Linked DNA regions of Saccharomyces cerevisiae S288C. The gene in region 1 interacts genetically with each later gene. Each region holds a gene or a part of one and is shown in the gene's direction. Other genes may lie near its edges.

Region 1 (3,319 bases):
ATATTTTGATAAAATTTTACTTATTTATTGCCTTTGGCGTATTCCTACTAAGATCCGTCAAGTTCAATTTACTAAGCCGCTCCGGTGCTGAAGACGATGATATACACGTTTCCATCAGCAAATCGACCGTCAAGAAGTGCAATTACTTCCTATTCGTCTATGGCTTCATTTGGCAAAATGTTCTAATGTGGTTAATGGGTTGATCTTGATTGAAGAGATCAAAGAGAGGATTTAATTTCATGCGCATTATTATTATCTACGGTCAATTTGTTAAATACTTATATACTTTTATTCCTACGTCATAAATTTTCTATTTACTTTTCTTATTTTTCCTTTCACTCAATATGGAGTGGAAAGAGAACAATAGAGGGATTAAAATTCGTGGGAAAAATCACGCTTTTTAGATAGATTTAATTTACATCATTGTTTAAAAAAAAAGACCCTGAAAAATCACACAAAGAAAGCACAAGAAGAAGAACAAAAATGGGTCTTTTTTCAAGAAAACGGGACCATACGCCTGCTGTGCCTAAAGAGAAACTTATTCCATGTGATAAGATATTCTTGGACCCTCCTGCCAAGTATGGTAACGCACCTCTACTGGAACCCATCTCCGAAGATCAAAACGAAAAATATAGAGCTGTCTTACGACATTTTCAAGATGATGATCTGAAATTACCAGAAAATCTCAATGACCTTGACAATGGGACACATGCCAATGACAGACCCTTGAGTGATTGGGAGAAGTTTTGGCTTTCTAGGGAGTGTTTTCTAAGATACCTAAGAGCCAATAAATGGAACACCGCGAACGCCATAAAAGGTCTCACCAAAACCTTGGTATGGAGGAGAGAAATTGGACTTACACATGGTAAGGAGGACAAAGACCCTTTAACAGCTGACAAAGTTGCCGTTGAGAACGAAACTGGTAAACAGGTTATTTTGGGCTTTGACAACGCTAAAAGACCTCTATACTACATGAAAAATGGTCGTCAAAACACAGAATCTTCCTTTAGACAAGTCCAAGAATTAGTCTACATGATGGAAACTGCGACAACTGTAGCTCCCCAAGGTGTAGAAAAGATCACAGTCTTGGTAGATTTCAAAAGTTATAAAGAACCTGGTATTATCACTGATAAAGCTCCACCCATCTCTATTGCTAGGATGTGTTTGAACGTCATGCAAGATCATTACCCTGAAAGGTTAGCTAAGTGTGTCCTGATCAATATCCCATGGTTTGCGTGGGCTTTTTTGAAGATGATGTATCCGTTCCTTGACCCTGCCACTAAGGCGAAGGCTATCTTTGACGAACCATTTGAAAACCACATAGAGCCATCTCAACTAGATGCTCTATACAATGGTCTGTTAGACTTCAAGTATAAACATGAAGTCTATTGGCCAGATATGGTTAAGAAAGTTGACGATTTACGATTGAAACGTTTTGATAGATTTTTAAAGTTTGGAGGCATTGTCGGATTAAGTGAATATGACACCAAGGGCCAACATGACGAATTAAAATATCCTGTTGATATGGTCATTTGATAAACTATAATTAAGATTTTTTTTTTTAACGTTTCCCGCTACACAAACGTATATATCTAGACTCAGATGTACGTTTATAATGGCTGCTTATGCGCTTATCGCATTTTATATACTTTTAGAATCAACTGAATCGGCTATCCGCACTCTATTGTTTTGTTTCATGAAAAAAAAAACGCCTTCTGAATTCCAAAGGGTGTGAAAATTATATATACTATTAGTTCCAGCTAATCAATCAGAACTAGTCAACATAGAAGATAGATAAGAGAATACGACAACTAAAAATGGCTCCGTCAATGATTCCGTTCACTGTATGTTTATATTTTATAGTAATTTTTAAAAAGCTTTAGTATGCAAAAGATCTAGGATGTACTAACTGAAGAAGGGTAAAACTATCATCCAAATTATTGTTATAGATCAAGCTTAAAACATGCCTGAAAATGTGTATTCAAAGGTTAAGATATGCTCAAGAAAAGCAACAGGCGATTGCAAAGCAGTCTCGAAGACAGGTTGCACAACTGTTACTGACAAATAAAGAACAGAAGGCGCATTATCGTGTGGAGACGCTAATTCATGACGATATTCATATTGAGCTACTAGAGATATTGGAACTATATTGTGAATTACTACTGGCTAGAGTGCAGGTAATAAACGATATCTCCACCGAGGAACAGCTTGTCAAAGAGCATATGGATGATGGTATTAACGAAGCTATCAGATCCCTAATCTATGCGATTCTTTTCGTTGATGAAGTCAAAGAACTTAGCCAATTGAAAGATTTGATGGCCTGGAAAATAAACGTTGAGTTTGTTAATGGAGTAATAGCAGATCATATCGATGTCCCTGAAAAGATTATAAAAAAATGCTCTCCCTCAGTTCCAAAAGAAGAACTAGTTGATCTTTATTTGAAGGAAATCGCGAAAACATACGATGTGCCATATAGTAAGCTGGAGAATTCCTTATCTTCGTCGTCTTCTAACATTTCTTCAGACTTTAGTGACCCCTCGGGAGATATCGAGGATAATGACGAAGAAAAGCCTATTTTAGCCTTAGATAATGACGATAATGACAATGCAGATGCTAAACACCCTATCACTGTTAAAAAGCCTAGGCAGAATAGTGAAAATATCAAGAACGAGCTCAAGATTCCGAAAGATATCAAAAAGGAAGTGATCGAAAAGAAACAATCAGAAAAGAAAACTACAAAAAGAAAGACTAAGAAGGAGCAAGAAAATGATGAACTAGATGAGTTGAAGAAACGGTTTGACGCTTTACGCAGAAAATAAGATAATAATTTATATGTATGGTTAATTAACCACATATTTATTTTACTCTCATTCTTTTACCTTGCTTTTTCTGAGTCAGCTGCTCTATTATTCTCGGCAATAAATAAATATATGTATATTCCTTTTACTAAAATTCCAATTTTTTTGTTCTCCGGACATTTGCAAATTGTTTTTCCAGTTCTGTCACAGCTATTTTCCTTCTCAGCTATATATACCCTGTGTAATAAGTTGAAATTGGTCGTATATTCTGGTGTAAATACTACCCAAAGATTTACCTATCAAGAAATTTTCTACGAAGTCATCAACTTCTTTTTCTGATAAGTCCAATTGGAACCTTTGTCGTAGTTGTACACTTGTTTGTTCGCCAGCATCGAAACAAGGCTGCATATTGTCCTTTTGCATAATCTCACACATTGATACGATTTGATCAGCATACTTTCTCAGAGCCTTGAACGAACTTTTAGTTAGTTCAACAAACTTTTTAAACGCTTCTCCCTCTA
Region 2 (5,024 bases), on another chromosome or scaffold:
TTGTAAGAATACAGTTATGTAGTAAAATAAAAGTAAATAAAGCGCTAAAACAAAAAAATAACTTCAAATAAAGTCATAAAAGTTAATGCAATGAAATCACATGCCCTCATGAAGCATGCTTTTTTAAAAAATCTTGCATTTCGTCAGTGTCAATGTCTTGTGGGTCTTCAGAAGATATGGCCTGTAACAAACCATCAAGCATATTGTCAACTTTATTTTCGTCGATTTTCAAACATAAAGATAACACTCTTCTAAATTTATTCTCTAATTCTGATTGTTTGGTGCTGATTGTATCCAATACATTGGTTAGGTGTTTATCATTCCGCTTGTATGCATTTATTCTTGCCTTCAATAAGACCGTTGGTGGAAGCATCGATTGGATTTTTTCTGCGGGAAGTTGATTTCGTATCTGTTCCATTATCTGCTCTTTCGACTCCGCTTCTAATAGTTTGGAAATATCGCCTTCATAATTCTTTTGTAATTTATCCTCCAAGAAATCTGAAAGGAACTCTACTTTGAAGGGTTCATCTGCATCATATTCGCTAGAGTCCCAATCAATACCTGAACTTTCATCTGCAATTATTCCTAGCTTTTTGCTCTCTTCCCTAAAACTTTCCTCTTCTTCTTCAATTCCTGCTTTTAAATTGGTCAATTGCTCTTGCATTAGTGAGTATTCATCTTTCAATTGCTTCACATTTGCTAGTTGTTCTCTAGAATTAGCTAATTCTTCTCGCTGTTCGTTCAATTCCTTGTGTAGTTTTTCTAATTTCTCATTATATTGCACTGTTTCATTCTCATAATCTTTCGAGATTGAATTCAGTAAATTTTGGACATCATTAATTAACGAAGTTGTTTCAGGTGGGTTTTTCAACAGTTGAGACCTTATTTTTTTGGCCTTTCCATTTTTTTGACCGTCGTAATCACCCTTAGAGACCATCTTCGAGTTTTCGTCACCGCCGTTCGTATTTTGTAATTTTGAAGTACCTGCCCCAAAATCCACGGGTCTCAACCCTGATTTGTTTGCAATAAATGGGTCAGCACCGTAATCTAATAAAGCGTCTACTATTGAAATGTTTCCCAATCTTGCTGCAATGTTCAAGCAAGTATCGCCATTAGAGTCCTGCGCATTGAGCATGTTTGCTATTATCCATTTCAGGTCCAAATTTTCTAGTATAGAGTCCTTTCTTTCCCCATTTTTGTCATTCGGTTTGCTTTCTTTTTCGTTAGTACCACTTTGAATGGGTCTATTTTGTTTCTTGACAATCCATCCCATTAAAATATCTAAATAATATTTCGCAGCTGCTGAACAGCCAGTCATACCAGACGTAATAATGATATGGTGCAAAATTGTTCTATTCATTGAGTCTTCCAAAATTAAACATGGATATAAATAATCTAGAAGTGCCTCAAAAGTACCAGAGTCGTAATTATTTACTGATTTGACAGCTTTCACTAGGCATGACTCCCCCATATTATCACCATATAATCTGTTTGAACCATGCTTAACCAGGTGTTTCACTAATTCCAGGTTTGCTATTGAAGTCAGCCAATGTAATGGTGTGTTTCCATGCTCATCTACAGGAATATTAAGATTTAATTGAGTATTAGGAAAAGCGTCGTTTACCTCTTGCAAAAGGCTATCAAATGATACGTGCTGTTGTTGTTGGTTTGAGCTCCCCCCTTCTGAATTTCTATTACTGCTGTCATTATTAAGGGATGTAGGCATTTCTTGAATTTCTGGAAATAACAACCGTTGTAAGAATGCCTCTAGTTTCATCTTCTGTTCATTATCATTTACAACTGGAGAAGGTAGTGCTTTCATGATTTTCAGTGGACTGCTTAAAAAGTCAGAAGTTAGGTCATGAGTGAATGTTATGATAGGTCCAGCGGTTCTGTCATTGTCATCAGTGCCATTATTTTCATTGTCGCCGCTAGGGCCCTTATTAATATCATCGTTAGGCTTGCCTCTGGCAGTATTCGGAGTGGAGTCACTCTCAGCATCTATTACAGAGGTATCTATTTTTAGTTTTTTTAAAGGAGAGCCTAATTCTCTGTGTGCATCAGAATCCAGGCTCATATCTTGTAAATTATTAATCCTCTTTGAGCTGATATTATCCTTAGAATTTTCACTTTTGGTCTTGTTTTCTGGTAGTTTCGAATGGCTGGGATCTTCTTCATCCTGATCTGTTTCAGGCTCCTCAAATTCGAATGCATCCTGGAACAAACCGAATAAATTTAGCATGTTTAATAATTGTAAACATTTTTCCAGCTCTATCCATAACTCACCTCGGTCGTCTGTATTTACAGCAATTCCATAATGTGCCAGTAATTTATTTCTTTCCTCATCAGTGGGGAAACTATCGGGGTTGGTCTCGTTAATATTCCCCGTGTCATGATATTGCTGCAAAATGGGCAGAAAATGTTTCAGGAGGAAATGGCCAGTCTCCGAGTCTCTAGTGAGTGTCAAAGGGATCTCATTGTGAGGTCCTAAGTATCGTACCACTTCTTCCAACGCCATCCTCTCGAGAATTATACTGTGTTCCCCTTTATTATTCTTTTTTTTTTAGCTATTGCTTAGTTCATATTGATGTTTCTCAATCGTGTTTTTTGTTGTTTTTTTTTATTATTATGAAATCGTTGGAGAAGGAAACTAAAAAAAAAAACTAAGATTTGGTGAATGATCTTATCCAAACGGTCCAGATGAAGACAAAAAAAGGAACAATAAGCTTTCTTATTTTATTTGATTCAATTTTTAGAAACTAATTGTCCACATTTTAAATAAATTCTATGGCTAGTAACGCTGCAAGGGTTGTCGCTACAGCGAAGGATTTTGACAAAGTTGGGTTAGGGATCATCGGATACTATCTTCAGTTATATGCGGTGGAATTGATACTGAGTGAAGAAGATCGGTCGCAAGAGATGACCGCACTAGCGACAGAACTTCTTGATACTATTGAAGCGTTTAAGAAGGAGATTGGCGGCGAGAGTGAAGCAGAAGACAGTGACAAAAGCTTACACGTTATGAACACGCTAATACATGATCAAGAAAAAGCCAAAATTTATATGCTAAATTTTACAATGTCGTTGTATAACGAGAAACTGAAACAGCTAAAAGATGGTCCCTGGGATGTTATGTTAAAAAGATCACTTTGGTGTTGTATTGATTTATTTTCATGCATTTTACACCTGTGGAAGGAAAATATAAGTGAAACGAGTACAAATTCATTACAAAAACGAATTAAGTATTGCAAAATTTATTTGAGTAAATTGGCAAAGGGTGAAATTGGTTCCAGCGACGAGAAAACGTTAGATTATGCAGATTTTGCGGATGATAGCGAGGAGATTAAGGATGAAGATGTTGATCACCAGACAAGCGATTTGGAAAACAATAATAATGATAAAGTCGAAGGCCTAGCCCCAAAAGACCAAACAACATCATACGAGCCTGTGGATGAGGTACCTGAATTTATTGATGATGCCGATAGCGTAAACGAAGAAGAACAGACCGTCGACAAGAACGAAGATGCAATAACAAAAGACGAACAACAAGTTGTGAAGAAAGAAGTGGATCTTACGCGCCCTTCTGCACCATCAGAACCTGCTGCAGCAGAGCATAAATCGTATACAAAGGATGAGTTGACAAAAATTATGGACAGGGCCAGTAAAATAGAGCAAATTCAAAAACTTGCCAAATACGCCATAAGCGCATTGAATTATGAAGACCTGCCCACCGCCAAAGATGAGTTAACTAAGGCGTTGGATCTGTTAAATTCTATTTGAATAAGATAAAGTTTGGTTTGTTGATCCGTTGAAGGAGGTATATATTAATATTAGTAGTTACGTATTAAATGTTAGAAAGGAAAAGGAATCCTGTATAATGCAAAATGAAATCGATACAAATTTGATTTGAGAAAAATGAGTCTATATCAAGAATATGATGGTATTGCGTCCCTGCATCAAATACGGTATAATGTACATGTTGACTTGTGTTGAGCAAATGAAAACATGGGAGGTTGAAGGCAGAAAAAAGTCCAAAAGGAAAAAAGCTTAGAACTTCAAAGTCTTAGGCTTTTCCCATGGGTATTCTTGGTTTGTGAAATGGCCATAAGAAGCGGTTGGCAAGTAGATTGGTCTAGCTAAGTCCAACTCCTTGACCAATACACCAGGTCTCAAGTCAAAGTTCTTGCTGATAATGTCGATAATTTCTTCGTCAGACTTGGTCGCAGTACCATAGGTGTCAACGTGCAAGGACAATGGTTCCGCAATACCGATGGCATAAGAAAATTGAACTTGAACTCTCTTACATAAACCAGCGGCAACTAGGGACTTGGCAACCCATCTAGCGGCATAAGCGGCAGAACGATCAACCTTAGAGTAGTCCTTACCGGAGAAGGCACCACCACCGACGGATGAGGCACCACCGTAAGCGTCGACGATGATCTTTCTACCGGTCAAACCAGCGTCACCTTGAGGACCACCGATGACGAATCTACCGGAAGGTTGGATAAAGTATTTGGTGTTTTCGTCCAACATGTCTCTTGGGATGACTTTTTCAATGATCTCGGACTTTAGTTGCGCTCTTAAGTCCTCGGTCGTGATTTCGTCAGCATGTTGAGCGGAGACGACGACGGTGTCGATTCTTTGTGGAACCCATCTACCGTGGTCATCCTTGTATTCGACGGTGACTTGAGTCTTGGTGTCTGGTCTCAACCACGCTAAAGAGCCATCTCTTCTCGCGTCAGCCATGGCCATGTTTAGTTTATGAGCCAAAAGAATAGTCAAAGGCAAACCCTCTGGAGTTTCATCTGTGGCGTAACCAAACATGATACCTTGGTCACCGGCACCGATGTCTTCCAAATCCTTCTCCTCGTGGACACCTTGGGCGATATCTGGAGATTGTTGCTCAATGGCGACAAGGACGTTACAGGTCTTATAGTCGAAACCCTTGGCGGAATCATCGTAACCAATCTTCTTGATGGTGTCTCTGACGATTTTTTGGTAATCCAACTGTGCCTTGGTAGTAA

What was found. Genes that interact genetically often act in the same process or in processes that back each other up.
Region 2: of IST1 (region 1) and VTA1, changing one enhances a phenotype caused by changing the other (phenotypic enhancement), as found in Saccharomyces cerevisiae (6 studies listed by BioGRID, with this or other methods).

The regions. Positions count from the first base shown.
Region 1 is NC_001146.8:143,780-147,098, reverse strand, and holds IST1 (Ist1p), read left to right. Parts: upstream 1-1,817; coding exon 1,818-1,844; intron 1,845-1,949; coding exon 1,950-2,819; downstream 2,820-3,319. Other genes in the region: protein transporter YIF1, read left to right, coding at 1-203; PDR17 (phosphatidylinositol transporter), read left to right, coding at 484-1,536; PIK1 (1-phosphatidylinositol 4-kinase), read right to left, coding at 3,021-3,319. UniProt on the Saccharomyces cerevisiae protein: Involved in a late step in sorting of cargo proteins of the multivesicular body (MVB) for incorporation into intralumenal vesicles. The lumenal sequestrated membrane proteins are targeted into the vacuole after fusion of the endosome with the vacuole.
Region 2 is NC_001144.5:515,434-520,457, reverse strand, and holds VTA1 (Vta1p), read left to right. Parts: upstream 1-2,787; coding exon 2,788-3,780; downstream 3,781-5,024. Other genes in the region: transcriptional regulator SWI6, read right to left, coding at 107-2,518; methionine adenosyltransferase SAM1, read right to left, coding at 4,048-5,024. UniProt on the Saccharomyces cerevisiae protein: Has a role in the formation of the multivesicular body (MVB). Required for the sorting of lipids to form intralumenal vesicles and for fluid-phase transport to the vacuole. Required for sorting the plasma membrane proteins STE2 and STE3 into the MVB.